Xenopus tropicalis: one gene and its partners. The protein of the gene in region 7 interacts with the protein of the main gene of each other region in a biochemical or structural test. Links are inferred from orthologs where the notes say so. Each region holds a gene or a part of one and is shown on either strand. Other genes may lie near its edges.

The links.
Region 1: of the proteins of prkaca (region 7) and rela, one has a biochemical effect on the other in vitro, tested with the Homo sapiens proteins (4 studies listed by BioGRID and IntAct, with this or other methods). The link is inferred for Xenopus tropicalis from reciprocal best matches to the Homo sapiens genes PRKACA and RELA.
Region 2: the proteins of prkaca (region 7) and bad form a complex in vitro, tested with the Homo sapiens proteins (2 studies listed by BioGRID, with this or other methods). The link is inferred for Xenopus tropicalis from reciprocal best matches to the Homo sapiens genes PRKACA and BAD.
Region 3: of the proteins of prkaca (region 7) and mapt, one has a biochemical effect on the other in vitro, tested with the Homo sapiens proteins (9 studies listed by BioGRID). The link is inferred for Xenopus tropicalis from reciprocal best matches to the Homo sapiens genes PRKACA and MAPT.
Region 4: the proteins of prkaca (region 7) and ube3a form a complex in vitro, tested with the Homo sapiens proteins (2 studies listed by BioGRID, with this or other methods). The link is inferred for Xenopus tropicalis from reciprocal best matches to the Homo sapiens genes PRKACA and UBE3A.
Region 5: of the proteins of prkaca (region 7) and rrad, one has a biochemical effect on the other in vitro, tested with the Homo sapiens proteins (2 studies listed by BioGRID). The link is inferred for Xenopus tropicalis from reciprocal best matches to the Homo sapiens genes PRKACA and RRAD.
Region 6: the proteins of prkaca (region 7) and creb1 form a complex in vitro, tested with the Homo sapiens proteins (2 studies listed by BioGRID, with this or other methods). The link is inferred for Xenopus tropicalis from reciprocal best matches to the Homo sapiens genes PRKACA and CREB1.

The regions. Positions count from the first base shown.
Region 1 is NC_030680.2:38,475,007-38,478,901, forward strand, and holds part of rela (transcription factor p65), read left to right. Parts: intron 1-1,615; coding exon 1,616-1,764; intron 1,765-3,895. UniProt on the Homo sapiens protein: NF-kappa-B is a pleiotropic transcription factor present in almost all cell types and is the endpoint of a series of signal transduction events that are initiated by a vast array of stimuli related to many biological processes such as inflammation, immunity, differentiation, cell growth, tumorigenesis and apoptosis.
Region 2 is NC_030680.2:35,248,357-35,252,950, reverse strand, and holds the start of bad (bcl2-associated agonist of cell death), read right to left. Parts: upstream 2,941-4,594; 5' UTR 2,436-2,940; intron 341-2,435; coding exon 190-340; intron 1-189. UniProt on the Homo sapiens protein: Promotes cell death. Successfully competes for the binding to Bcl-X(L), Bcl-2 and Bcl-W, thereby affecting the level of heterodimerization of these proteins with BAX. Can reverse the death repressor activity of Bcl-X(L), but not that of Bcl-2.
Region 3 is NC_030686.2:17,258,440-17,262,334, reverse strand, and holds part of mapt (microtubule-associated protein tau), read right to left. Parts: intron 3,590-3,895; coding exon 3,536-3,589; intron 3,008-3,535; coding exon 2,745-3,007; intron 2,595-2,744; coding exon 2,502-2,594; intron 1,843-2,501; coding exon 1,761-1,842; intron 1-1,760. UniProt on the Homo sapiens protein: Promotes microtubule assembly and stability, and might be involved in the establishment and maintenance of neuronal polarity.
Region 4 is NC_030678.2:113,355,153-113,359,047, forward strand, and holds part of ube3a (ubiquitin-protein ligase E3A), read right to left. Parts: intron 3,469-3,895; coding exon 2,222-3,468; intron 1-2,221. UniProt on the Homo sapiens protein: E3 ubiquitin-protein ligase which accepts ubiquitin from an E2 ubiquitin-conjugating enzyme in the form of a thioester and transfers it to its substrates.
Region 5 is NC_030680.2:67,036,121-67,040,623, forward strand, and holds the start of rrad (GTP-binding protein RAD), read right to left. Parts: upstream 2,877-4,503; 5' UTR 2,747-2,876; intron 1,766-2,746; 5' UTR 1,764-1,765; coding exon 1,409-1,763; intron 1,168-1,408; coding exon 1,094-1,167; intron 644-1,093; coding exon 439-643; intron 1-438. UniProt on the Homo sapiens protein: May regulate basal voltage-dependent L-type Ca(2+) currents and be required for beta-adrenergic augmentation of Ca(2+) influx in cardiomyocytes, thereby regulating increases in heart rate and contractile force.
Region 6 is NC_030685.2:49,782,978-49,787,433, reverse strand, and holds the start of creb1 (cyclic AMP-responsive element-binding protein 1), read left to right. Parts: upstream 1-1,553; 5' UTR 1,554-1,687; intron 1,688-4,456.
Region 7 is NC_030679.2:134,187,445-134,191,339, forward strand, and holds part of prkaca (cAMP-dependent protein kinase catalytic subunit alpha), read right to left. Parts: intron 1,558-3,895; coding exon 1,496-1,557; intron 1,074-1,495; coding exon 945-1,073; intron 817-944; coding exon 718-816; intron 1-717.

The DNA of each region.
Region 1 (3,895 bases), on a different chromosome or scaffold from region 7:
CCTGCCTGATCGAGATCTGCCCAATTTGAGGCCAGATATCCATCGGGTAGGCATCGGGGTGCAGATAAGCTGCCGAACCGGTTTGGACCAGAATCGGCAGCTGAAATCGGCCTGTGTATGGCCCCCTTTAGACTTCACTTGCAAACAGTGTGCAAAGCTCATAAATACTCACTTGAAAAGACACATTGCTATTCAGACATTTAAACAATTTGTACAGATGAATACAAATCCTGCAATAAGTGTATTATCTGTGATTTAGATGTTTTAACGTGACTTTACAAAATATTTGTATGCAAACAGCATTCAGCCCCCCCCCCTTTTGAGCACTAACAGTGTTATGTGTTTTGAGTTCCAATGCATACCGGCTTTACACACAATTTAGGTGTAATTTTTGGTGTCACATTTTTTCTGGCACATGTTCTCTGTTATTCAGGTCAGATGACACTTGTGTTTCAGTTAATTAGTCTGAGAGATACTCAGCTGGCATGACCTGGCATAGCTCGTTTGCATAATGGCTTCTTTTGTGCCACCCTACTTTAAAGGAAAGTGTTTATGCAAAACACTTAATATCGCTGATGCAGACCTACAGTGAAGTGAGGTGGCGATGCATAATGCTGTTGGACTGCTTCTTATTCTGCACATCTAGTTAAAACAGAAGGAAGCAGAAAGTGTAATTATATCCTATGGGAGGCTTCCAAAATCATGCATTGAAGGTTGAAAGTCAAAGTTTTTTGCGGCGTTTATGATCGTTCGGATACGAAAATTTCAGAACTTTCGGATTGCGCCACGATATTTGCGTACAAACACAATAGGAATTTTCTCACAATTAACACACATCCAAAATTATTGTATTTATTCCGAATTTTTGCCAATCATACTTTTAATTAGCCGAAATTCGGACTTTGATAAATCTGCCCCTGAGTGAAAAAAAGACCCCTGTCCCTTTTAAAGGAGTGGTTCACCTATAAGTAAACTTTTAGTATGTTATAGAATGGCCAATTATAGTTTTTGAACAATTTGCAGCTTTTAAATGGGGGTCACTGACCCTGTGAGGCTACAATTTTACTGTTACTTTTTATAACTTTTTTTTCTATTCAGGTCCTTTCCTATTCATGTACCAGTCTCTCCTTCAAACCACTCCCTGGTTGCTATATAATTTGGACCCTAGCAACCAGATAGCTGCTGAAACTCCAAACTGAAGAGCTGCTAAACAAAAAGCGAAATGACTAAAAAGAACACCGTTTTATTGCAGGATTTGTTGTTCATTAAATGAACAAATTGTTTCAGTGTCTGAATAGCCATTGTTGTCAGATAATGTATGTTTTTTCATTTTCTGCTGTAAGACACACTGGCATAGTTGGTAATGGCCTACAAGATAGCGGTCAACTTATGGGCTCTGTTTGACTTAACTGATGGCTGTACTTTCATAGCTCTTTACCCAGCTGTTTATTAAGGGAAGTGAAAAATTTTTTAGCCTTATTGATCATTCTAATCATCACTTTACCATCATCATAGTATTTGATTTGTTCATTCATGGTTTTTGTCATTTGCACATTTATTTTATTTATTTTTTTATTGTCTGATTGATTCCTTCCATTCTTTATGGTCATTTTAGATAAACCATTACCAGGGCTCAGCGCGTATTCGAATATCCCTAGTTACTAAGGATTCTCCACACAAACCTCACCCTCATGAGTTGGTAGGAAAGGACTGTAAGGATGGATATTATGAAGCTGAACTTTCCCCAGATCGTAGTATTCACAGGTAATGATTGGTTTGGTTACACTTCTGTTCAAAGGAATTGTCAGCCCCAAAAATAACTTTTTGCTTAATTAAACAAAACTTAATTCTAAGCAATATACATTCATTACTTCATTCATTCATTATTTTTTTTAGTTATTTGTATATATAATTGCTATTAAAAGCAGTGTCTACCTGTCCTCTCTAGTCTCTGCCCTGGTGGCTCTGGCACTTGAAGCAATGTAACACAAGGCAGCAGACTGACAGACCTTGTCATGATATAGGCCTGTAAGGGTTAATCAAGCAGGCCAAGGTATCCCAAAATCTTCCAGAAATGTGCCAGAAAGAGATATATAACAGGCCTCTGGTCACTAGGGTCTGGAACCAGCCATGTGTAAAGGCCTCGCATCCTGAAATGCCCAACTCTAATCCCTGGCTGATAAGAGCCATGCCATGTGGGGGAGTGAAAGCCCACGTGGGGGTGACTTAGAGTTCACATTGGGACCCATCATAGGTGATGTGGAGGTCACACCATAACCCAAACTCACAAACATTTATTGTCCCAGAACCCATACTATTTATACTAGAGGTACCAAAACCTGAGTATATGTTTCATTTAAGATGGCCTTTCATACGGGTCCAAACATCACTGGATTTGGGCACTTGGTTTGTCAGATAGGAGTATCTGGGCAGGGGCAGGTCACACAGTGGTGATGTTTAGTCTGTATGGGACCGGTGGGATCATTAAGAATTGATGAATCTAATTTCATCATGTTCCCACAAGGAGTTATGGACATTGGTATCATTGGACAAGTCCCATACACTCAGTCCATACACAGGAGGCCATAAAACTCACACTGTGTCCTGCTAATGGTGACACCCCTTGCATTCCTGAGGGAGGGGGGAGTGTCCAGTTACCTGATCCCCCTGCAAACTGGGATAAATAGTCAGCTCTTCTGAAGATATTATGTGGAGGACCAATTTCTATTGGAAGTTTATCCTGTGGTTTCCCCTTGCCTCCAGGACTAGAAGGACTTTGCTTGGTATAGTATAGGACTTCTATATTTTTCCCTTTTTATTTTAAAACTGTTTGTACTTGTTTTATCGTATGTCCTTTGTTGTAACATCTTGTTTTAAACTTGCACTGTTATACTTTTTATAATATTAAATATAAAATTTAATAAGTTTGTCCTTGATGCTCTAAAACGTACCTAACCTCCGAGTGTGTAACTGTGTTGTGTGCCTTAGCCCTCTGTATGCTGTGTGCTGATTAACCCTTTGACTGCTGGTAAGGAGAGTGTGTGTGTCGGTTCTTTACATTAACCCTTTCTCTACCAGTGTGCTTGGCATCTCTCATCGCCAGTGTAAGAAGTATGAAAGTGGTGGCAGCAAGTTGTGTATGAGTTTGTGAGCGTTGGTTGGTCTTTGGGGTGCTGTGATGCTAGTCTGACCTGTGTGTCAGGTGTGTGAGACTGAGCAAGGGACCCTCTAGACAGCCACGCCTACAGTCACGTGCATCTGAAGTGGCGTAATCGTGACAGACCTGCCTTGCTGGAGGAGCCTGGCACATGCAATTTTGTTAAAAAGTAACAACCAGGATTTCGGCAAATGCTGCTTTCAATAGCAATTACGTTTACACAACTTTTAAAGTAGTAATAATTTTTAACGAATTGATATTGGAAAGTTGCTTAGAATTATGTTTCTAATTTATTAGGCAAAAACATTTTTTGGGGGTTGACGTCCTTTAAGATTAAAAAAAAAAAAATGCTCTTTAGTAGTAATGTCTCTTAAAACATCAGCATTCTCTAAAATGTTATTATTATTGTTCCTACGCCAGGTTAGTACCGCTTTTGGTGTGTGTCTAAAACAGGGGTTCACAGACTTTACAAGTGTATGGTTCTATTTTGTATGCTTCATCTCTGTGATCTAGTGGCCATCAGCTCAAGATCTACATTTTGGGCATCCGTGCTTAAGGCTATTGCCACACAGGGTTGAATCTCGCCCTGCAGATAAACACGCTACATCAGCCTTTCCCTGTACCTGCACCTGGAATCATTGCATCAGCCTGGGTGCAGGCACAGAGAGCAGATTTTGGTACAGGTTTGGGACCTGTTTTCCAGAATGCTCGGGACCTGGGGTTTTCCGGATAAGGGAT
Region 2 (4,594 bases), on a different chromosome or scaffold from region 7:
GTTTAAAACGGCTGCTAGCAGCACTGTTATTATTACCCTTTATTTATCACTAAGACATTTACAACATACTTTCCAGAAGTCACTGCCTGCCTATATATTTTATCTTATAGCAAGTCAGATTTCAATATTACAGATGGCATAATGCTTATGAAGAAAGATGAAATACATATTTTCTTGGCAGAAGATCACCTGGGTATCTTCGCAGGCTGGGAGAACTCTTAGCTACAGGTTGTCGAACGCCTGCCCCACGAGGGGGATCCACAAAAGGCAAAGGTAATCCCTGTTCCTCATTATCGAATTCCTCTAACTTGAAAACTGCTGAAGGGGATGAATCTGCCATCTAAAAAAGAACAGAATAATTTCAGGGAGTTATACATACATATATACTGCTAATTTCTATTTTGATAAACCTAAGCTGTTTCCACATGTCTCATTTAAAATGTAACAGCATCAGTCCTGTCACAGTGTTTGATATTTGTCTAGTAACCCATAGCAAGCAAGGTAGCTTCTACTGGCTGCTACGGGTTACTAAATGTGGCAGAAGTTAAGGCTTTTTTTAATTCCAATGCCTCATTTGCGCTTTTAAATTCAGTGGGAACTTTTTATGAGGGTGTTTAATTTACCTAGGGAAACTATATATAGTTTATTGGCTTCTTTTTCTTCAAGGACAGCCTATGATTTTGTGAATGCTTGCGTTATTCACTTCTGTAATGAGATATAGGACTACAAGAACCTAAAAAATGAAATCATTTTTCAGACTGATGACAATGATTGTAAAATATTTGGGAAGGAACATTGATTTTTTTGGAGGATGAATCTGGATTAAAAAGAATACAGAAAGTAGCTCTTTTTTTCTAGCATACAAAATTATATTTAATAAATTAAGCATTAAAAAGCTTCATATTGCCATGCACTGGATGGGACCACATCTACTGACCATAAAATCATGGAAACAACTGGTAAACCAGGCAATCCCACTAATTAATCTTACCTCAGAAGCGAGAGGAACACAGACTAAATTTGACCTGATTTGGACCCCGTGGATTGAAGCAGGACTGGACTGAACCTACATAACATGTACTATAACCAAAGTGATATGCATATCTCTATTTGCACATAGTATGGTTGTATCACTGGCCAACCAACTAAAACTAATGTATTCTGCAAATGTTTGGCATAAATGTCTGTCTGTTGTTAATAAAATTATACCTATATAAAAAAAAGCTTCATATTAAAGTAGGAAGTACAATGACCAATCACCACACCTTTTGTTTAGTGAATACACTCACTTGTTGCACTGTGCTACAGTGTTTGGGAGAGATTGCCAAGAGAGTGGATCTTCTCCTGATATGCCCACCTATGGGGTGGGTGATATCGGGCTAATTCAGTTGTTTGGCCCTAGAGCCAAACAATGGAATTAAAACAGTGGGAATAGGCGCCTTAGGTTCGTGGACCACATTAACAAGCCAATGTGGTCCCCGATCTAACAGAAAAATCAAATCTGCCCGATCGAGATCTGGCCCGTCGTTCATGCTAATACATGGGCAAATAAGCTTCCGATTCTGTCTAAAGGATGTATGGCCACCTTTTTAGTGTTTAGTCCAACAAACAAAAAGCTAAATGATTAAAAAAGGAACTGAAAATTGTGAATATTAGTTGTAAATTGCCTCAAAATACCACTGTCTACACAAAACTAAAGGTGAATTTAAAGGTGACATCCATACTAGCAGGCATCAGGTATGATTGGCTGAACTGAGAAGGTCAAACCAGACACTGACACTTTGGTTACACAGTGATATAGGCGGAAGTGGTCAGATAGCATAATACCTTACTGACAAGGTTATAACAACACCTTGAGAACAGTACTTATATGAACCTACCAACTTCCTTGTGCGCACACCTAAGTTCCCAACTCCTTGTCAGCTGGCTATAGTGCATACTAACGGGGTGGGGCCCTTTAACGAGAGTTTAAGGTGCTGCAAATGGCACCAGCAGCCTAAACAACAGGCTCTCTGGAAAGACAGATTCTGCTATGTGTTGAAAGCTATACTAGGGAAAATAGTTTTGTCTGTTAGTGTGGAGGAAACACAGGATGCAGATGCAGCGCCGTCTCGGGCTCAGTGCCAACCTGGGGCGGCCAAGGTGATGCCAGCCCCCCCCATGTTTTGTTTTTTTTTTGCGTTGGAGAAAGTTGATGGGGGCTGAATCACTAGTGCAGAGAGCATAATAGTGATCTCTGCACTAAAATTCCGATTTTTATAAGTTACCAGGAGTCTTTTTACCACCCCTGGCAATTTGTCGGGTGCTGCCACCTAAGGTAAGTTGCTCAACTTGCCCCAAGGTAGCAGCTCTCCTGTGTCCCACTGTGACGGCAGTAAGGGCTTCCCTTGGGTGCAGTCAGATGTGTGAAAGGCTGGGCTGGAAGCCCTACTTACTCTGCTGGAGTGCTGATGAGCTCACAGTTTAATCCCTGAAGTCGCCTCAGCTGCTCCACTTGCTCAATGGAACCCTAGCAGGCGGCAGCTATAGTAAATCATGGAGACACTTCCGAGTGCTGTGGAAACATCCAGCAACATAGGGACTCCCCAGTCCATAGACCTAACACAGACTCACAGCTAAATGGCTGGTTGCAGAAATCCCAGTGTCACTGGCATGGTAGGGGTTAAATAACTCGGTTCAGAAGGAACCCTGCTTCCTATTCTCACTGTAGCTCTCTCTCCCTGTCAAGATGGCTGTCCGGCTGCTGCACAGGCTCACACTGGCTGCTGATGCCTTGTACACACACACAAAACGTCCAGGAAACTGAAGGAAGCAACTCCCAGACGGCTGCACACTGCTTCCCCCTGGATTCTGATATTATCTCTCCAGCAGCCTCTGTCTTCCAGTACTGCTTTTCTCCCTGTCCCCTTGTTTTGCTTCCTCTTCCTGTTTTTCGGCTGTGTGGGCGGGACCCTCTGAGTCCTGTACTAATGATTGGCTGGAGAATTCCCTCCATGCTGCAAGGCTAAACGTGAAGTAGTTTCTATGCAAACTGTTGTGAAAGGTAGCACTGAGCACTGAAAGCATTTCAGTGCTCAGCAACCTTACACATACAAGACATTAAGGGCAATAAATCCAACAGATAAACCTCTCATTTCCTTACACGTTGGAAAAGCACACAGACAGCTTACCTGGCTTCTGCCTCCTGATGAAATTGGGAGTAGTGTGTAGTATTTTTGATCTGACTGAGCCATGAAAAAATAATAGCTTTTTAACTGCAAATGAAGTGCTGTGCATCACTGCAGTGAATTTAGTGTGTCTGTAGTGGCATAACTAAAAGTACTTTGGGAGTTTAACATTTTTCGTATATAATCATATAGTCAGAGGACATAATGGTGCACTCCACTAACAGAGTCAGGACCTGGGTGCAAGAGCCGTATGATCAAAGTATAGTAAAAGTAATGTCAGCAATCACAGGATTTAGAATATAGGTGTAAAAAGTCAATATTTATTGAAACATAATAAAAGGAACATAGCAAACCTCAATGTTTCACATTCAAGGTACACATGCCTTTTAAGTCAGTGTCCAAATGGCCTCCAGCTTCCCTTTTAGTTATGCCCCTTTGTGTGAGACCTGTTAATGCATTAAATATTTTGGAGTTATCCTGCTCTCTGTTTACCTGGCTTAAAGCTAACCCTTGCCATGGAAAATGCACCCAAAATACTCAGCAATAGGGCAGACTACAGACAGTAGACTACAAGGAGCACAATTGGGGCGCATGGCCGTTGACATATACCTCAGTGGTGTAAATATAGAGAAAGCAGACTGCAGTCTGCTTCCTATATAGTTGCAAAGTCTTCCCTCCCCAGCCCCTCTGATACTTGCAAGCGGGATGGGAAGACTTTATAACTATATAGGAAGCAGCCTCTGAAGATATTTTTGTGGTGGTGGGACTGGTGCACACTAGATATGCCACTGATATTCTCCATTTAGGGTTGCCACGTTTCTGGAGAAAATACCAGCCTTTGCATATTTTTACCTTTCTTCTCTTATTAATTGGGATCAAGGATCAGGAAATTATGTGAATTAGACACAATAACTGTGCAGTGTAAATGTTTTGGCACTATATAAACAAAGGGTAATAATACTAAATTGTGTCCTGCAATTTGTATAACAATATTTACATCTGCAACTGTAATTATCATCAGTTTTGTGTATTGCTTACGGGCAAAGTGAAGACTGGTTAGGTTAGTTCAGCAGTCATGCTTCTTCAGTTCATCAGGCAGTGACAAGTGCTACGTGGTAGTTTAATATACACTGGTCCTGAAAAAACAAACTTAAACTCTTTCCTACCCAGGTTAGCTGAGCTAAATAAGATGATTTCAGGATTCATGGCTTCAGTTCTATTTCCCCTTTATGGTTCAGTTTTTGCTTGGGGGAACTTACCTTGTTGTGATAGTGATCGTTCTAAAGTTACAAGAGTATTTAAGACTAACAACAATTGTTTATCCCAGATGTCACTATCTTGGAACATAACTTGGGGCCCCAGCACTCCCACAAATAGTTTTCTTTTGGGCCCCAACCCTAGGCAGTGTGCAGAATTGCAGGTGATCC
Region 3 (3,895 bases), on a different chromosome or scaffold from region 7:
TCTAAGCCAAGGTGATCCCTTGTCAGGCCCAGAAGATACATGAACAAGTCACAATCAGACATCAGTTAAGAAGGACATTATTTTGAGCATACAATATGCTGTTAAACTTTTTAAAAAAAATTGATGTAACATCGGTGATAGTGCTTTTCTGAACACTTTTGCAATTTATATTTACTTTTTTTTTTTTTTTTTTAAAAATCCAAGATATTAAGGGTTTAAAGTACTGTTAATATGAATGCATTTTGTTACAGCAGCACCACCTGCTGGTCAGTTTCCAAACACAAAGTAGTCACGGACGTTGTCAGGAGAAATTAAAAGGGCTGATTTGATGTTCCTCTCTTTATGAAAGATGTGGAAAAAGTTATCTGAAGTTTCTAATGTTTTTCCAAACCAAAAGAACATCAGAAAAGACCTTTTTCATTCTCCTGATAAGTTCCTCAACAACGTCCTCAACTACTGCATGTATGTATGTATGTATAACTTTATTTATAAAGTGCTACAAGGGTACGCAGCGCTGTACAATCTTACAATGTTATAATAAATACAATAAATATATATAAATAGACAGGAAATAAGTGCCATGTGGTATGAGACACAGTAGGAAGGAGGTCCCTGCCCCGTAGAGCTTACAATCTAAGTGGTTGGGTAACATACAGGCACAAATAGGAAGGTAAGAGTGCACCAGGTACAGGCATTTGCCCTTGAGCCCAGGACTGGGCAAAATAATGTTTTAGGGCTCCAGAAGGTAACAGCTGAGCTTTTTCTTAAAGAGAGTGGGTGAGTGTTCCCTACGGAGCGATTCAGGGATAGAGTTCCAGAGGTAAGGAGCAGCGAGATAGAAAGGTTTAAGACGAGAGAGCGCAGTGGGTGTGGATGGTGTAAAAAGACTGAGGCTCCGAGAGGAGCGGAGGAGATGACCAGGAACATGCAGGGAGACCAGTGAAGAAATGTAGTGAGGAGCAGAGGAGTGAAGGGCTTTGAATGTTAGCAGAAGGATTTTGTAAGCTATCCTTTGCTTAACAGGCAGCCATGCTAGAGAGATTGAGGTTGAGGCTAAACAGGTTTCCTCTTAGGAGAGAGCAGGAGGATCCTGGCAGCAGAGTTTAAGATGGATTGTATGGGAGAGAGGTGGGAGTCCGGGAGGCCGGTTAGTAGGAGATTGCAGTAATCTAAGCGGGAAAGGATAAGGCCATGGATTAGTGTTTTAGTAGTAACTTGTGAAAGAAAGGGGCGTATCTTGGCAATATTCCCCTCAGGTTTTGGCAGTGTTAATTAATAACACTGTCAATCCATATTAGAGAAGGAAAGTGACTGGTCAAAGATAACCCCAAGGCAGCGTGCTGATTTAACAGGGTTAATGGTCATGTCATCAATAGTAATGGTTAAAGGAGGAGAAGGGCTAGGTTTGGGCGGGAAGACCATGAGCTCTGTTTTAGCTAGGTTAAGTTTGAGGTGGCATTGGTTCATCCAGGAGGAGATAGCCAGGAGGCAGTTAGCAATCTGGGTTTGTACATCAGTGGTTAGTGAAGGTTAGTGTTCAGAAAGGAACCAGCAGGTGGTAATGTGTGCATTCATATTAACAGTTCTTTAACTCTTAATATCATGGAATTTAAAAATAATAATAGTAATGAATATCAATTGCAAATGTGCCTAGAATAACACTTTCATCAATTTCACATCATCTTGTTTTTTAAGGTTTACTTATCTTTAAAACTGGGCACAAGTTGGGCGAGGCTATGAATAAGTGTGGCCAGCGGTACCTGGTCTGTGGTGGATGTTGCCAAAAGATCCACACTTAGAAGTGATGTGTGTCAAGTCGATCGGCTTGTGAGTTATCTGTATCTGAAAGTGGACAGAAGAGAGAGAGAACAGAGTTAGAAACGAGCAAACGAGAGAGAGAGCAAAATCTAATAGGTCACCTGATTGCTAAAGTTTAGCAGCTCTCTAGGCCAGTGGCCCACTTCATACAAGAGCTCCCTCAATAAGAACCCTGCTGCCTCTGTACAATATGGCTACACAGCACATTAAACTCCCTGCGTTAGTCAGCAGTAAGGTTTATTGCCCTTAAATACAAGTACAGCTGTGTTTACTTGGAAGGGTTGAACTTGAGGCAGCAAATTTGGGCCATAGCAACCATATAGCTGCTAAATAAAAATCTAAATAATTAAAAAACCGCAAGTAATGAAAAATAAAGGCCAGTTGAAAATTTTCAGAGCACTCTCTACAACATATTTAATTTAAAAGTGAACAGCCCCTTTGAGCGAAGCCCCGTCTGCAACTGCAAGAGCACTAAAGCTTGCAAAATTGTAACCCTTAGTGCTTATTACAGAGCCTGTACTTAATGCCTGACATAGGAAAGGTGGTAAGTACAAGGCTTCTCTGCGTCTTGGGTGACCGGCAAGTTAGCGGGCAAGTAAGGATGTGTCGCTCCCTGCTCATCATGTGCCCTGTTGCTTTATCTTCATTGTCTGCATAGCTGTGTATAAAGAGGGGCCACTTACTGTGCCTCCCCCTGGCATATGTTTCAGATTGTCCTTTGACCCACACTTGGACTGCACACTACTCAAATCGATCTTCTTGTGAACTATCTGCACCTGTATAAAAAAGAACAGAGGTAAGTACATTATACAAGGAAAGGAATATGGGTGAGGGCAGTGAGCTCTATCGTGGTTTATGGAATTATATATCCTCTGATCTACTGCACCATAAATCTCTGGCCTTTGCCAAATCTGCTTCCCTGGTACCTTGCCGCCACCTGGCTGATGCCGAATGTTGTCTATTGAGCCGATCTTTGAGCGCACATTCTTCAGGTCAGGCATGGCTGCTGGGCTAGTGACTGGCTGCAGACGGCTCTTGGCAGATGCTGGGGATTTGGGAGGGGTGCGAATGACAGCAATCTTTTTGGGCTCCCGGGTTGGGGGTGTTTGTGAAGAAGAACGTCCAGTTGGTGTGCCAGGTGATCCAGGACTGCTGTACCCGCTCCTTTCACCAGATTTGGGCGATTCTGCTGCAACAAGGGTAAAACTGCATTAGAACTGAACGAGAGGAGAACTACATGACAATTTAGACAAATGGGGTCTGATCATGAAACTAGGAAACCTGAAACAAGCCTGGTACTGCAACACTTGTGGCTTCTCAGCCAGCTGTAATATTCAGCCCGTGGCAGCTGTGTGCATTTGGTTGTTCTAGACCAGTGATCCCCAACCAGTGGTTCGTGAGCAACATGTTGCTCCTCAACCCCTTGGATGTTGCTCCCAGTGGTCTCAAAGTAGGTGCTTATTTCTTAATTCCTGGCTTAGGGGCAAGTTTTGGAGGCATAAAACCTGAAGTACTGCCAAACAGAGCTTTCTGTAGGCTGCCAGTCCATATAGGGGCTACCAAGATCAGCTCAGAGCACCCACACATTGAATGTAATAATCATTATGCAATCGCACTATTGCCTATTAAACATAGCAACGGTATAGTCTGACAGTAGCAACTTAGTAATATTAATTACATGGGTTAATCTGCTCCCCACAGTATATGTGCCACTCACCTCTGTCTGGCTTGGCACCGCTGGGTGGCGGCTTTCTCTGATCCCTTCTGACAGCTGTTAGAAAAGAAGGTATTTATTACAGAAAGCCTTGCACTGTCCTACAGAACCAAGCCCACTCTCCTACAGAACCAAGCATGCTGTCCTATAGAACCAAGCCCACTCTCCTACAGAACCAAGCATGCTGTCCTACAGAACCAAGCCCACTCTCCTACAGAACCAAGCATGCTGTCCTACAGAACCAAGCCCACTCTCCTACAGAACCAAGCATGCTGTCCTACAGAACCAAGCCCACTCTCCTACAGAACCAAGCCCACTCTCCTACAGAACCAGCCCGCTGTCCTACAGAACCAGCCTGCTGTC
Region 4 (3,895 bases), on a different chromosome or scaffold from region 7:
GGCATTTTTTGGGGGGCAAAACCTGACAAAAATTCCACTCAGTGCTATCCTTCACAGCCCGTCACTAACTAATTGTACCATTGCAATATTGTGGCACAAGTCATCTCTCCAATTCCCATAGTGCCTTGCATGTTCTGTGATTAAAGTCCATTAACGCAATTACATCATCTTCAAAACCACTGGCAAAAAAAAACAGTTTTTTAGGGTGGGCCCATTTAATAGACCTGCAAGACCTTGCTCCTGGGATTATAAGCACTTCCATTTTGGATGGAGAACAGTTGATTTCTAAATGACAAAAACCGCTTTCCACTGTGCATTAAATGAGTACTTTAATTTCACAATGTAAACAAAGAAATCATTTTTGAGTGGACTTCCCTTTTAAATGTTGATTCCTGCATTCATGAGCAATGTCTTTGGCAGGAAAGCTGCTTTCCTTGTTCCCAAGCAACAATCACCCACTGTGGGAAGCATTTTCCATAGACTAGTATATGGGAAGTTGCTGTGAGATAAGATTGCCATAATGATCACAGTGATTATCTGCGAGAGGACAAAGGTGATCGTATGATCAAGGGCAGTAGAGGAACAAAAAACCTTCTTAGAAAGTAACACTACACTTGTCAAAAGTATTAACTTTGTCTAGCACTGAGAAGAGTGCTCTAACTGGAATCAGCATGTATAAAGGAGAAGACACACAAGAGTAGTCACCACCTCTAGAAATTAATCTCCTTGAATGCTTTACTACCTGTCGAGAATTTAAATTGCCCTGTATGAAAATATATGTGTTGCGTTGGCTTTTCAAGACGCCTTGTGAGGAAATTTCGAGCGACTTCAGAAAGCTAAAGGGACGCATATGTTTTCCTAGCAGAGATTTACATTCTCACCAGGTAGGAAAGCATTTGAGGAGATTAATCTCTAGGGATGGTGACTAGTCTTCTTGTGTGTCATCGCCCAAAGGGAGGGACTGTAAGCATTTACAGGAAGCTGCACGAAAAACCACAAAATCTAAGGAAAAACATAGGGAACATAATTAGATTGGTAAATATACCGTAAATAATTGTTGAATCATTTACAGGTCAAATCTTTCCCCAATATGACCACCTTGGGTGGGCAATATCATGCTAATGCGATGTCCTAGGGCCAAACAATCACATTACAATGAAGGGGATATGAGTAGTCGGAGAGAGGACTGCATCACTGAGCTGATGCCGATTTTTGGCCAGATACTGGTCATGAAGGCCTGCCATACACAGGCAGATAAAATCTGGCCACCTTAACTTGTTGATTTTCATCAGATCACAGTAAGTTGTTCCACAGCCACATTCAACTAATTAGAAGGTAATCAGCAAAAAATGTAGAAGTGTTCAGTGACCATCTGGTTGCAGAACTCGCAAGCAAAGAGTCAAAACAGACTGCATAGAACTGGCAAGTGGATTTGATTTTAGCATTTTTAGGGAAAAAAAAACCAAACTAAAAATGACTGAACTGACCATTCATTCATGGTTTAAGAAGAACTACACTTTTAAATAACTTTCATTTTCTTGTGCTATCTGCCCTAAATTGATTCAACAGAAAATGCCTGTTGACACCTGAAACACAGAAACAAAAACTGTGACTTCTGTTTCAAACAAAATAGTAACTTAAGGAGAGACATAAGGTCAATTCAAATGTATTTTTTCAACATTAGAAAACAAAACCCTCAAATAAATATGGATAGAAATGCCAAATTTTATATACTAAACTTACTGCATCAGCCTAAAGTTTCAGCATCTCAAAAGTAGTAATAATCCAGGCCTTCAAAGTTGTCCAAGGAGCTCCCCCTTCTTGGATTTTGTTAGCCCTGAGTTCTGAGCAGTTATTAAAGGAGAACTAAAGCCTAAATAAAGTAGGCACGGATCCTTCCTGCTAAAGGGGTGCAGCTGCCTTGAGCTGGTACAGAAGCCCAAAACATAATGTACAACAATCTTGCCCTGCTTGTTTAGTTAAGGTTTAGTTCTCCTTTAAATTTTGTGTCTGTTCTGAGAATTAACAGTCAGGAGTTGTACACAGTATTCTTAGCAGAAGTGAATATATTATCATAAAATTAAAACTAAGGATCCTTTTAGATTGTACATTATTATTAAATATATTTATGTATTATTATTATTATATATATTATGTATACAAAATACATTGCAAATAGACAATTATAGATATTCTTTAGTAGATTTAGGATAAAACTTACCCTAACAAGAGCATCGTCAATGATGTGATCTCGCCGTACTTTGAGCCTCAAATAGGGGTTAAGTTGCTGTCCTTGCACTAGACTATACAGAACAGTTATTCGCCTTTCACTGTACATGCGGATTCTGTTGTCATAATACAGACCAAGATTCTTTGTAACTGCATTCAGGATAAAGGGGCAAGTCATAAAAGAGAATTTGTTTTCAGTCTCTACTTTAAAGAAAGTATAATCTTTGTCCATTTCTAGAACATCATTTAGTGGTTCGTTAACGAATTCCTCGAAAGGGATGAGAGGTTTCCTGCAATCAATGCTTTTAACACCAAGTTCGGTTTCAAGGGGATCTACTCGAGGGCCTTTTTTGTTTCTTCGTTCTTCCCCTAGCAGCTCCTGCAGAGTTAACTCACTGGACTCAGGAACAGGTTCATCATCTTCCTCTTCATTATGGTCAGTTTCAATCTCTCCACCAACAACATTTGAATAGTAAACCATTTTTAAGCACTTTGTTGCTGCAACAATAGCATCATCATCATTGACTAAATTTCGACTGTTGAACTCGTTACTTATAACTTTATAGGTTATAAGCTGCTGAAATGTTTCCATCATTCGGCGAATCTGCTCAGCGCTGTACTTTGACCAAAGACGGATCAACTTTGCTTGCGCTGCTAATGGCAATTTACTCATTGCTTTGCAAAACAACGGTAAAGCCATTTCCAGGTATTCAGGACTATGGAGATTACCATTCTCCATGACGATTATAAACAAATTGAGATAGTTGGGATCTCGTGAATAAACATTATGATAAGTTAAGTCACATTCCACATTAGGAGAAAGGTACACAAGTGCATTCAGAAAGGCAGTTTCTATTTTCTCATTAGAAAGTAACCTGTGATACACCCGTCGAACTGCTTCTATATCTAGAGACACTTCTTCAGGGCCTAGTTTCTGTATGTTGTTGTCTCCTTGTGAGTTGTCACTTAACCTTGAGGATGATGCTCCAGAATCCTCTTCCATTGCAGCAGCAGATGATGCAGCTTTTTCCTTTTCATCTTCATCCTTATCTTCATCCTTTTCTTGCAAGGATTTTAGCTCCTCCTTTGTATGGTGCTTTGCTTTTCGGAAACTCTGAACCAAAGCTTCTGCACTGGAAAATACTCTCCCGATCACCCGAATTAAAGGCGAGTAGTCCTCTTTTTCTCTACACAATTCAAGAATTTCATACACTTTTTCTTCAGACAGGAAAGTGACATCTAAATAAGTGGAAACATTTTGTTTTACTCAGCAGTTCTTTTGGTTTATAAAAAAAAAATATTTAGTGGAGGTTAAACTGACAATGCCTGCCCACCAGCCAACTAAACAATTTTCCTACAGGAATATTTTTACTGTGCATATAGCACATTGTCCCTTCTAAAAAATGAAACCTAATTTGGCCTAGAATTAAAGCGATTACATTTGATGAGACTCATTAGGGAAAGAGTAGGTTGCAGAACTAAGCTTAAGTAGTTATACGGATTGTCTTCATTTTTCAGCATGCCATATTTAAGGATTCTATTCTCTACTGCTCTTATTCATGATATAGTTTCACAGCAGGCCAATAGCATCTCTACATGTAACATAGTTACTTGAAATATGCAAGTCCCATCTGCCAAAAGGCTTTTAAATGTGTTCAGCACAAAT
Region 5 (4,503 bases), on a different chromosome or scaffold from region 7:
TCCTTGCTAAGTGCAGTTTTAGATACATCCCTTATTTTTTTCTGTTGTCCTTAATAATTAAAAATATTTCTTTGTGCTATATAATGTCACTGTAAGTAATGATCATATCCATAATATGGTCAGCATCTCTTTACAGTATAAACTATATACCAAGCCAAAGAAGAACTGGACTGATAGATAGGGAACATGTATAGTATGCAGCAAATCTATTATTATTGGTATTATTGCTCTGGGATATTATTATTGCATTTCTGGGAAATGCCTTAGCATAAAATGGTGAATATATATTTGCTAATTTTACCTCTTTAAAAGTTACTTTAAAAGTACTAATATTCCCAACTCTTTTCACTGACCCATTTTACTTTCATCCCCATAGTAAATGTTTACACATATATATTATATTGAGCTTTCCGTGCATGGATATCATTATGAATTTACCTTCTACTGATACTTCTCGTGATCTGACCAAGTCACTTTTGTTGCCAACTAGAATTATAGGAATATCCTCTGATTGTCTTGCTCTTCGTAACTGTATTCTGAGCTCAGAAGCCTTTTCAAAACTTGCTTTGTCCGTAACGGAATAAACAATAACATAAGCATCTCCCATCTTCATGCACTGGTTATGCAGCCAGTGATTGTCATCCTGAAAACAACAAAATAGAATCATTATTCTTTACATACTGGCATCAAGGTTTAATTACTAATTATTAGCGTTAATGTTCCTTGCCCTTGCAATAAAACAGTGGTGTGGACTGAGGTGAAACTCCCAGAACGAGGTTGTTGCTTAAAGCTCCTATTCTACAGCCCTAACGGTCAATCTAAAGTTTATCTAAAAGTTGATCTAAAGTTCTCCAATGTATGCTGATGTTACAGCTGAAAGTCACAGCTGTCCTTTATTCCACAATGTCTTAAGTCTGATTCATATCTATATTCTTAAGCAATCTATTTTATGTAAAGTTGAAAGTTACAAAAGTTATAGGATTTAAATTTTGTATGCCTATGAATACTGTTACTTGCTGGGCTGAAATGTTTCTCTTAATAGAACACTTTCCAAACCAGTAGTTATAGTGGAAAATAGTGGGAAATGACATACCTGTTCCCAAATGTCAAAGACTAAAAGACAGGCTTCTTCCCCATCCACCACAATAGATCTGTCATATGTATTTCCTGGGAATGAAAAAGAAAAAGAATCAAATTGGGGGTTTCATAACTTTACAGACTTACATATACATTTGTCAATAATATATGTGTATGCCATGGTTGCACTGTAAAGTTTATTAACTAGATTTGATGGCTAAATATTGATCTAAAACCATTTAGGTGCATTTTAGTGCATGTCTGGTTATAAATCGAATTCTCCATCTTCTCTTCCAAACACACATTTCCTTGGTCTCAATAATATTCTCACCTGCTTCTTCTACATCATGTAAATCCTCCACACCCCCAAATATCCTGGCCAGGCTAGACTTTCCCACTCCATGTTCCCCAAGCAGGATGACTTTGTACACGTGATCCTCAGAGTCACTGCCAGAGGAGATGACAGAGTCAGAGGAATCTGATGCCCAGCTTTCTCTATGTTCATCTGAAGGGTTGTACGAGGGGCAGCGGACCAAGCTAGATAGCTGAGATGCCGGGGTTTTGCCATGCAGTTCCTTATCATCCACGGGCATGCTTCTCCTGTGCAGCTGCTGATGCATAGAGAATGGCATGCTGCCTCTCCTCTTTTCCAGGCTCTTAAACCGGTCACTTCGGTTGAGGGTCATTTCTAAGTGTAGGGGAAACAAAACAGACACACACAAGACGTTAATAGTCAGCCTGTACTGACACATTTTCAAGGCTTGAAAAGCGATAATCCTAAAACCACATGATTAAAAGCTTTCTGAATGTATTGCAGGACAGGAATTTGCACTCTCATTTTAACCCCCTTTCAAACATTGTAGCAGAAACATTCCATTTTGGAACTGCTGAGGAATTCTGGAAATTTCATTTTTTTAACACTTAGATTATAATCACTACAGAACGGCGATGGGCATGTTTTGGTGTTCCTCGTGTGAAACTGGGAATTGTAGTTCTGAGAGATTCTTATATAGTACCGTCATTATTACTAAATCCTTATGGTTTTAACTATATGTGATCTATCTTTTCTTGCTGCTATGTGAAATTGTTGGGCACATCATCACAAGAAGCTCCATTTGTCCATTATTGATATTATAAAAGAAAGAGCTAACACTTTGTGAGAAGTTTACATGATGTTTTCAGTAAATTCTGCAGTGCAGCCACTTAATGGTAAAAAGTCAGAGAAACACGGTTTTGTTCCAGGACCCAGTTTATGCTGCTTAATATGTCAGCACTATGATTATTTAATAATAACATTAATAGTAGTGTGGATAAAGCTGCATCTACTTTACAGTACTTTGACACCAGCAGTGAAAGGGTGTCAATGAACATAGTGCAGCCCAGCACATTAACAACACACACATTCGTTTTCAAAGCGTAGCTGTCAGAATATTAAAAGTATCTATTTTTTTATGAAATGTATTAACTATTCAGAAGACTTAAACAATTCCAAGGTCACTTAAATCAAAAAGTAAATTCCTGACTCCAGTCACGTAATATCGATCCATTAAGGTATTTAAGCAGTGAGCAGGATGTTGTGTCCCTATGAATTTACAGCTGTCAGCAGGTCCTCACAAATAGACCAACTGCACAGAAGTGGCAGTATCAGAAGCACACGATGTTGACTTACTTGGTAGAAGTGCCGAGCTGCTGAAAGATCCTCTGAGTAAAACAAGGGAATATTCCCTGCAAGCTGTCCCTTGGGCTTAGTTTAGAGGCTTTGGCTATCTCTCAGTGAGGAGTAATTCCCTTCTGTTTCTCTCACACACAGCCTCGCTATTTAAGTGTTCCCCGGGCTAACACGGCATGTGACATCAGCGCCGCCTCAGCTTATGGGAAGGCAGGATCCTCCCTGCTTCCATATCTGGTGCAGGCTGCGACATCATCACGGACTGCTGCTTAGTCAGTGTATTGTAAATGGAAGCGCCTAAGACCCTATTGTCCCAACGAGTGAATGCCCCCCTCCCTCTAGCAAAGAATAGGGGAGGTGTGAAGGAATTACTGTTACCCTGGCTCTAGTGTGAAACAGAGGGCGTCAAGTTACAACAAAACACAGCACTGCATGGAAGGGGGGGGGGAGTGGGGGGTGAGGAAACCCTATTTGCCTCTGTGTTTCTGAATCACAGATGATGAATAACTGTAAGAGGACATTTCTTTTCTGAGGAAGGATAGGTAAGGCTGTCAGGTTTTGCTGACTCCTCCCTCTTCCTCTTTGGCAGCAGTTTCCCAGTAGCATCAGCCAGGTTTATCTTACAACCTCACTCCAAAGTTCACCGGCCTCCCATTCCTCCAGCATGAACACTGCTGCCTAAAGTGGTCTCAGGGGGTGTACCATGGCAGAAGGGGCACAAAAAGACCACATAACATAATTTAGGAGTTACCAGGCAGATGTGCACAACGCCAGACCTGCTCAGTAGTTTAAGTGCTTTGAAATCTTTGTGGGGAGCACAAAAACCCCTAGATGAGCAACGCTACGAAGTTAGGTAGCCTCATAATAGCAGCAGGAGTCAGAAACATTGGCGAGGTTGCCAAACGAGCGGATCTATTACCAATGTGCCCACCTTGATATAAGTGATGTCAGGCTGAAACGATCAGCTCACAATGCAGTACAAGCAGGCCATTGGGGTAAGGGCCACATCCCAACCTTGGGCCAAACAAATTACAATGTAGTACAAGCAGGTCGTCAAGGTACAGGCCACATCAACAAACCTAACCAATCAAAATCTCCATGATTAAGGCCTGTAAAACCAATGCTTTGGTCTTGGCAATCTATCTTAAAAAAAAAAAGTTTTTATAAATACATGCACTTGTGTAGATACTGATTTTTTTTACAGAATACAGGAGTATACATTGTTAAATCCTCTGTATATCTGATTCTGTGCCTATATGGAACACAGCGATTTGATTTTTCCAGTATATAATGACCCATGTGCTATTAGCCTTAAGAAAGATAGTGACGAAATAACTATTTTCAAGTTTAGATTTCAGTCCAAATCCCAGTGTGGGAAAGATTGCACGGTTGCACCTTCACACTGCATCAGTGGCAGAGTGGTTTCCAAGGACCATGAAACTGATAAGATTGTCTTTTTCCCCAAAAAAGTGTACAAAAAAAGCACAAAGTCAAGCACAGGGAAAATGTAAACATTGTTTATGTTTGCCCAGGATTATACAGACAAGAAGACATAGAACTAGACATATTTAACCTACAGAGCAGCATTGAAAAGGTTCCGTAGCAAAGTTTACAGTGGTCCTGGAATGTGGCAAAGCAGCAAAAGTACCAGAGGACAGATTGTGTGTCAGGATAGCAGCCAATAAGCATATGGTTAGGTTTGTGGTACCTGGTGTAGGGCCTGTCCATGGAGGATGCTGAGGAGAGAGAAGCTAGGG
Region 6 (4,456 bases), on a different chromosome or scaffold from region 7:
AATACTTAAAGGAACAGTAACACCAGAATATGAAAGTGTTTTAAAGTAATTAAAATGTAATGTACTGTTGCCCTGCACTGGTAAAACTGGTGTATTTGCTACAGAACGCTCCTATAGTCTATATATAAATAAGCTGCTGTGTAGCCATGGGGGCAGCCATTCAAGCTGGAAAAAAGGAGAAAAGGCACAGGTTACATAGCAGATAACAAATAAACTCTATAGAATACAATCACATTTTATCTGTTATCTGCTAAGTAACCTGTGCCTTTTCTCATTCGAATGGCTGCCCCCATGGCTACACAGCAGCTTTGCTTATATAAACTATAATAGTCTTTCTGAGGCAAACACACCAGTTATACCAGTGCAGGGCAACAGTGCATTATATTGTAATTACTTTAATATGCTTTCATATTTTGATGTTACTGTTCCTTTAAAGTTGGCCATACATGGCAAGGTCACTAAACGGGCAAATCTTTCACCCGATATGCCTACCTTGGGTGGGTGATATCGTGCCCCATCACATTGCAATGAAGGGGATAGGAAAAGCCAGATCAAGGACCACATCAATAAGCCAATGCAGTCCCCGATCCTGCAAAAAATCAAGCACGTACAATCAACATCTGGATCATTTTTGGCCAGATATCTGTTGGGGGGGTTCTGTCGGAGGGTCCCATGCAGGGGCAAATAAGCTGCAGAGTCGGTCTTAAGGAACAGAATTAGCATCTGAAATCTGGCCCCGTATGGCAACCTTAAGTTGCAATGGAAAAATAGTTACACCAGCACACCCTTACCTCCTCCAACAGGTTAGCTACTTGGTGCACGGCCCAGAGAGTCCGCACTCTCCGCAAAGTCCAGTAAAAATGATTTCAGCCGGCACAACAAGTAAAGTGCAAGTGGGGTATAACCCCTGCGTGTTTATTCAAGGCAACGTTTCGGGGGCGAACCCCTTCATCAGGCCACCTAATACTCAAGGTGGCAAGTACACTATAGCGTCATAAGCACTTCATGAAACAGCTCCGATTTAAAAAGAAGAAGGGCGACAGGGTAACGTTATCTGTTCTAGAATCGTAATAAAACTATCAGACTAACCTGTAAAACATGAAAACTAAACTGATAGCTTTAATCACAACAACGGCACTGTTCATTCAGCCAAAGCAGCCAAAGCACAGGTAAGGTCGCCGCGGGTAACCAAAGCCCGTTTCTCATAATTCCCACACTCACCAACCTTAACTGCCTGTTAGCTCTGTAGCTTTACTGCAGCCTGTGCAAGTTGTCGCATCAGTAGATACACGGGTTTCCGCTTACAGTGTCGGAAAGGGGTATTGGGAACTGTAGTACAACTGCAGCAGAAAGGTTTTACTAAGGCCTAACTTCTGCGCCTGCCCAGATTCCACCCTGCGCTAGCTCCGCCCCGCCCTCTGCTGTTGGCTGCCTAGTCTGTCGAGGCCTTCCTCAGTGTCCTGTCGGAAAAGAGCCCGCCGCCCTGACGCCGCGCCCGGGCCTGAGCTTAAGAAAAAAAAAAACTAGCGCCACCACAAGAGGAAGAAGAGAGAGCAAGAGCAGCAGTGACGCGGCGGAGGTGTAGTTTGACGCGGTGTGTTACGTGGTGGGGAAGAGAATAAAAAAAAGCCCAGCGAGATCCCAGCCGCGAACGAAAGCAGTGACGGAGGAGAGGCAGTGTAACCCGGTAAGAGGAAGGAGGAGGAGAGGGAGAGGCATGGAGGAAAAGAGATGGAGCAGGCCTCACCGCCGGCTGCTTTCACAAATACCCAGGCGGCAACTGATTGTAGGGAGGGATTTCTGGGGGCTGCCAAGAACAGCGCGCCGGCTTTTCCTTCGAGCTTGCTTTCCCGCCTGTCATGGTTCCCCTTTTTACCCCCTTAGATAATACAGAATGTTTACCCCGCCATAGTAAAAATGGAGACCGTGCGGAGGGGGTGAAATAAAGAGCCGCGAAACAAAGGATAATGGCGGCCGGGAGGAGGCAGCCGGCGGCGGCAAGAGCTGGGGTGTGCGATACAGCCACAGGGGGTCACCGGTGGGGAGACCTCCGCAATCTTTCACTGTCGCGACAGTCAACGGTGCTTATCACGACACATATATATATATATATATATTATATATGTGTGTATGTATATATATATTTTTTTTTGTGGCTTGTTAGATACATGCGACTAGTATCGTTCATGTTTTCCCGCAATATAGTCTTCATTCAAAGGGGAATATTCATGATGCGATGAACGAATTCTTCTTTTCCTCCCATATTTTTTAACACTACTTTTTAAAGTTAAATTTCTTTTTAAAGTTTAACGTGACTCTTAGGTTATTATTTATAAACAATGCTCCTACCTGCGGCACTCCAGCCGGGGTCGAACTAAAGGTCCTGTCAGGATGAGCTGAGGGCTGCATATTAGTAGCTGAAGGGCCGCAGGTTGGACTTGAGTGGCTCGCTAGTTGGTACAGAGGGAAAGCAGGCAGGTCTTTTTGCTGAGCATGACTTCATTTCGAATTGTTAGTGGGTTCCTGAAATATCTGATCGTCAGGGTTCACCAACTGTCTGCTCTTCTGGCAGCAATGGGTAGATATTTTTATTTTTTTACTGTATATTCTTACCCCAGCTCCCGGGCATCCTTCTAGTCATGGTTTAATAGTTGTCCACTGGTTGGGTAACAGCAGCATCAAGGGTCAGTGTAGACTGGTGAGGGTGAGCTCTTTGACCAAGATTACCAGAGGGAGGTTCCACTAATCCTGCTTTTAAAGCTTCATATTTATGTGACCCTTGTTCTGCAGTTTTTTTTATCCTGTGTTGAATGTTTGAAGCTCTAAAAACAGAATTGGCCCCAATGTCTCTCTGGCAGTCTGTGTATGTATTTTGACACATTTTTCATGAAGAAATGAAGATTGTAACATTTCAGAGATTTCCATGTTTCATCCAAGACTGGTACGGTTTTCTTGTCCATATATTTTGTTGCACTGCAATCCCTTATTGAACTTCCACATTATTTCCCTCATGCTTGCTCATTACTTTTTGTTTGATGAAAACATCTGGACAGTGAGAATAAAATTTGTTTATAATAGATCTTTACATTTTGTTTTATTTAGTATTGTCTACTTAATGCAGATCTGCATTTAAAGTATGTCAGGTATGATTAGACTTCAAAAGTATGAAATCTACATCACCTTAGTAATTGCAGGGAAGCATTAAAGCACAACTTTTGTGGTACTCAAACATTCTGCCAAGTAGAGGGCTAAGGACCCCAGGTTCTAGAAAGCTGTAATTTGTATTGGTCAATTTAGAGACCCAAGTTCTAGCTTGTCCGTTTGGGGCTAATATGTGAATACCCAAAGCACTCATTTACACACAATTAAACTTGCTAAAACTTCATTGCTGGTACCCTATAACATGGCTTCAGGGGGGTTGGTACATATTAGTGTGCTCGTTAATTCTAACATTTATAAGTGACCTGATATCGCTTAAATATTAATTGATTTAATTTGAATGCAGACAAACATAGTTTGGCTTTATTTGTGATATTTTAATTTAAGGCTTAAATATTTCAGTAATTAGAATACTGTTTTATATTCTTGGTTAATGGCAAACAGTTATAGACTTCTTTAGAGATGTTTTTAAACACCAAGTAAACTTTACAGTGCATATAGATGGATTTCAAAGGGTTCCCCCCCATAAGAATGCTGTTTTTCCCTTGAAATGCAATAAAGTTAAAAACAAAAATGCTTGCATTTTATTTTTTGTATTTGTGTTTTGCTTATTCAGTCACTTCCTGTTAGGCGGGATAGGTTGTTTTTTTTTCCCAACACTTTGAACATTCTCCTGTAAGTCTGCCTTTTCAAAGCCCCTTTCCAGAAACCCCAAATAAGCTGCATGCGTATTTTTTTTTTTTTTTTCGTTATACTCTAGTTATTGAACACTTTCATAAATAGGCAGAGATCATCATACACTTAAGCTCTGAGGTATATTTCAAAGTTGTTTTCATTTTAATAATACATTAGATGAAAACTTTCTTTTTATGCAAGGGCTTTGCAGGTTTTCATTTTGATTACTAAAAGGAAAACAAAACTGATAGAAACACTATGAGGGTGACACATACCTCTCCCATCCTAGTATAATAATGCTGTTAAAAACCTGTAGCTGTGGCCTTTTATTATAGTACATAATAATAGAGAAATGTCTTGTATGGCAAATTCTAGTATATACCTTTGGCATATTTTGCTGAGTGAATCCCAGTCTGTCCATAAGATAAAATAAATCTAAATAGCAGGAAATAAATATTGTATAATGAGACGCTTCCCTGTCTTAAGGCCTGTGATATGTCATATATATAAGTGTGCAAAAGTAGCACAGAAATGTTGAGCTGCTTTTCACACAGCACATTGCCGTATAGAAGTAAAGCGTATTTATTTTGCTGTGGACGGTCTGCAAATCTGCATAAATAGA
Region 7 (3,895 bases):
ATATATGGGGGTGCCAGTCTTTCTGCACTTCCAGGAGCAATGCCAGCCCTCAGTTGTTGTATAGCATGGGATCAGTTATCCATAAACCCTTTATCCAGCAAGTTCAGAATTACTGGAAGGCCATCTCCCATAGAATTATTTGCTTATAATGGAGTCTAATTTTAAAAAATGATGCCCTTTTCTCTGTACCTTATACTTGATCCCAACTAAGATATAATGAATCCTTATTGGGGGCAGAACAGCCCTATTGGGTTTATTTAATGGTTAAATGATTCCCTTTTCTCTGTAATAATAAAACAGTACCTGTACTTGATCCCAACTAAGATATAATTACCCCTTATTGGGGGCAGAACAGCCCTATTGGGTTAATTTAATGGTTAAATGATTCCCTTTTCTCTGTAATAATAAAACAGTACCTGTACTTGATCCCAACTAAGATATAATTACCCCTTATTGGGGGCAGAACAGTCCTATTGGGTTTATTTAATGTCTAAATGACTTTTTAGTAAATTTAAGGTATGACAGAAAGATCCCTTATCCGGAAGCCCCCAGGTCCCGAGCATTCTGGATAACAGGTCCCATACCTGTAGTCTAAAGACCCGAAAGGTTTGAATCCTTTATAAACTCCCCACCTATTCCCTTTTAGCCCACCAAGTCATTGTACATCCTGCAATGCCAGCCCCACCCACCTTCCCCTACTGTTACTCCCCACTGTACCTTAAAGGAATACTCCAGCCGCACGAGGAATGGGAAATTCACAGCCTGCAGTATCCGCTTCTCATTCAAAGTGTGCTCGATCTGCTTCAACTTCACCACCTGGTGGGGCAAACGGAATGAGTAACTGGAAATTACTGATTGGGATTCCCCCTACAAACCTATAGTGGGGTACACCTCTAAACAAAGGACCCCTGCACACATGGAAACAGAAAATATTTATGCCATACCTTCTGCTTGTCCAAGATCTTCATAGCAAAGTGACTGCCATTTTCTTTGTGCCTGACCAGCATTACTCGCCCGAATGACCCAGTGCCAAGAGTTTTAATGCGCTCAAACTGTTCCAGGTGAGCTGTGTTCTGCAAGAGAGGTACAGGGGGAGAAGTGATACTGCTGCACCAACAAACAGACTGAGGCAGGTTTAGCATGAAATATAAACAGATCTTTTCCTTTGGACCCTACAGAGTGACTGTGGGAAGATAGGAATGATTACATTTCAGACTGACTACCAGTGGTAGAAGGCCAGGCAGCAGGGGCCTTTAGAAAGCTTACCTTGCAGTTCTTTTGCACAGCTTCTTGGCAGTTTTATGAAGCAATATGCTGTGCAACACAATCAGTTCCTGTAGGAAACCCTGCACATACTCTTAGCAATCAATAAAGAGTTAAATATACATATCTACTGTTTTTAAGCGCACACCTGATTGGTTGCCAAAGGTTACAAGACCTTGATAAACTTGGTTCATTACCACCCAACAACCCCAGCCAAATAAGGGTTTGTTACCTGTGCTGGATTTTCCCATTTTTTCAGAAAATCTTCTTTTGCTTTTGCCAGAAATTCTTTCACTGTAGAAAGAGCACAAAAGGATGAATGGGTTAATGAGGAAACAAATGGAGGTAACCAAGGAGAAAATGCACACTGGAGGCAGTATGAATGGAGGGATAAATGAAGGGCACAGAAAGTTATAGATCAACAGCACTGGCTCACGTGTGAGCAGCCAATGATAAGCGCTGGTACAGGGTTTATACTGCCTAGCCAACCACTCGCCTTAATGGATTCCAACTCCCAACGATCCCTGCCAGAGGCTCATGGGGGGGGCTATAAGTACAGTGCAGTGTTGCCAAACTGGCCCTGCTCTCCCACAATGCATTGTACTCACACATGAGGAAATCAGGGGTTATGGCTCGGCTACTGTATGTGTAGGGCCCAGCATGGCTACTAGTGGCACCAATAGCTATTCTTACAGAGCCCAGCATTGCTACTAGTGGCACAAATAGCTATTCTTACAGAGCCCAGCATGGCTACTAGTGGCACCAATAGCTATTCTTACAGAGCCCAGCATGGCTACTAGTGGCCCCAAAAGCTATTCTTACAGAGCCCAGCATGGCTACTAGTGGCCCCAATAGCTATTCTTACAGAGCCCAGCATGACTGACAGGCTGAGGAAGTGACCAATCCCTATGGCATTTCTTGGCTTTGAGCAAGGTGTGGGTTATACATTGAGGGCAGCGCTGGAGCACCTGGTGCACGGCTGCTTATCATTCCTTCAGTAAATAGCAATGGAATGCTCCGGGGCTGAATATGACAGGAAACCTGTGCAGAAGGCAGGGAGTTGCTCTGGAGTCGGAATGAGGAAGCTACAACTCCCAGCGTGCAGAGACGCACACAGACTGCTAGGAACGAGACAGCACAGACTGTTAGGAACGAGACAGCTCACTACTGAGACAGGCCCCAACTCACACTCACAGATATTCAACTTGTGCCCCATGGAGTAAAACAATGCAAACATTTAAGTACCATAGTGCAGACAGGCTAATTAAAGCAAATGCAGCGGTGGGATCTATTATCCAGAGACCTATTACTGAGCTCTGAAATACAGACACTTAGCAGCAGCCATTACTGCTCATAGCTGGCGCCACGACAGACGGGAGAAAGAGGAAGAACTAAATGCCACCACAGACAGACAGCTTATAGCCGGCTTAGTTATAAGGAGACTGCTACGGGCTGAGTTTATGTGACAGCCATACAGACAGTGTAAGGAAACAGACAGTCCCTAGTGCTACCAATCTAAGGAAAGAGACAGCAGAGTTGGGAGGCTACAGCAGAGAGAGATACGGAACTAGAGGAAGGAAAGAGGCAGCAGCCTTATCTGTCTCTATTTTGGGGCATTCCTCTATTCTGTGCAGCACACATATGGGCCAGGCTGGCTAGCAATTGTTGCCACCAACCGTCACTGCTAGTCAAAGTGACCACACTTGGGGGGAGCCCAATTTGCCTTTACCATCTCTTCTATAAGGGGCTCTATACAAAAAAACCCCAAAAAACTGCAGAGTCAGCAACTTCAAATGGGGGGTCACTACTGCTCTGTGAGGCTAAAATTGTATTGTTATTGTTACTTTTTATTACTTATGCTTCAATTCTGTCCCCCATACCTTCCATATTCCTGTTTCGCATTCAAACCACTGTCTGGTTGCTAGGGTAATTTGGACCTTAGCAACTAGATAGCTGCTACAATTCCAAACTGGAAAGTTTCAGAACAAATAGCTTATTCCAAAACCAATAAAAAAAAAATTGCAAACTGCTTTAAAACAGCACTCTCTACATAATACTAAAAGTTAAGTTACAGTTAAAGGGCTTGTTCACGTTTAACGTATGCTAGATGGAACTTTACAATGGGTTCCTTGGTTGCTGGGGTCAGTGATGGTCAGTCTGGTCTTACAGAGTGAGCCGTCAGCTTATTGGGCCGACAGATCTAGCTAAAACTCAGTGGCCCTTTCCAAAGCCAGCTATGATGGCTGTGCCCATCTAGGGCCACACAATGATGCAAAATGTAAGCTTTGTGAGCAATAGGCTACACTGAATCTGCTGCTGAATAAGATGGTTCTTACATGCATTTGTGGTAAAGTGTAATGCTGTGATAAGCCTACACAGGAAGGGGCCGCGAGCTGCACTGTGCAGATATACATAACAGCACATCTCATACAGAGGGGTATTAGTCTGCTCCCTACCGTATTATAGGCCACTTTCAGCTTTCTGTGTCATACACAGTTCCATTCTATAATCAGAGTCCCTTCCCAGAGGCTATTATCCCCCCACTGCTACTATAGGCACCATCTCTCCCTACTATACCTGCTATCCCACAGCCACAATCCCTTCCCAGAGGCTATTATCCCCCCACTGCTAC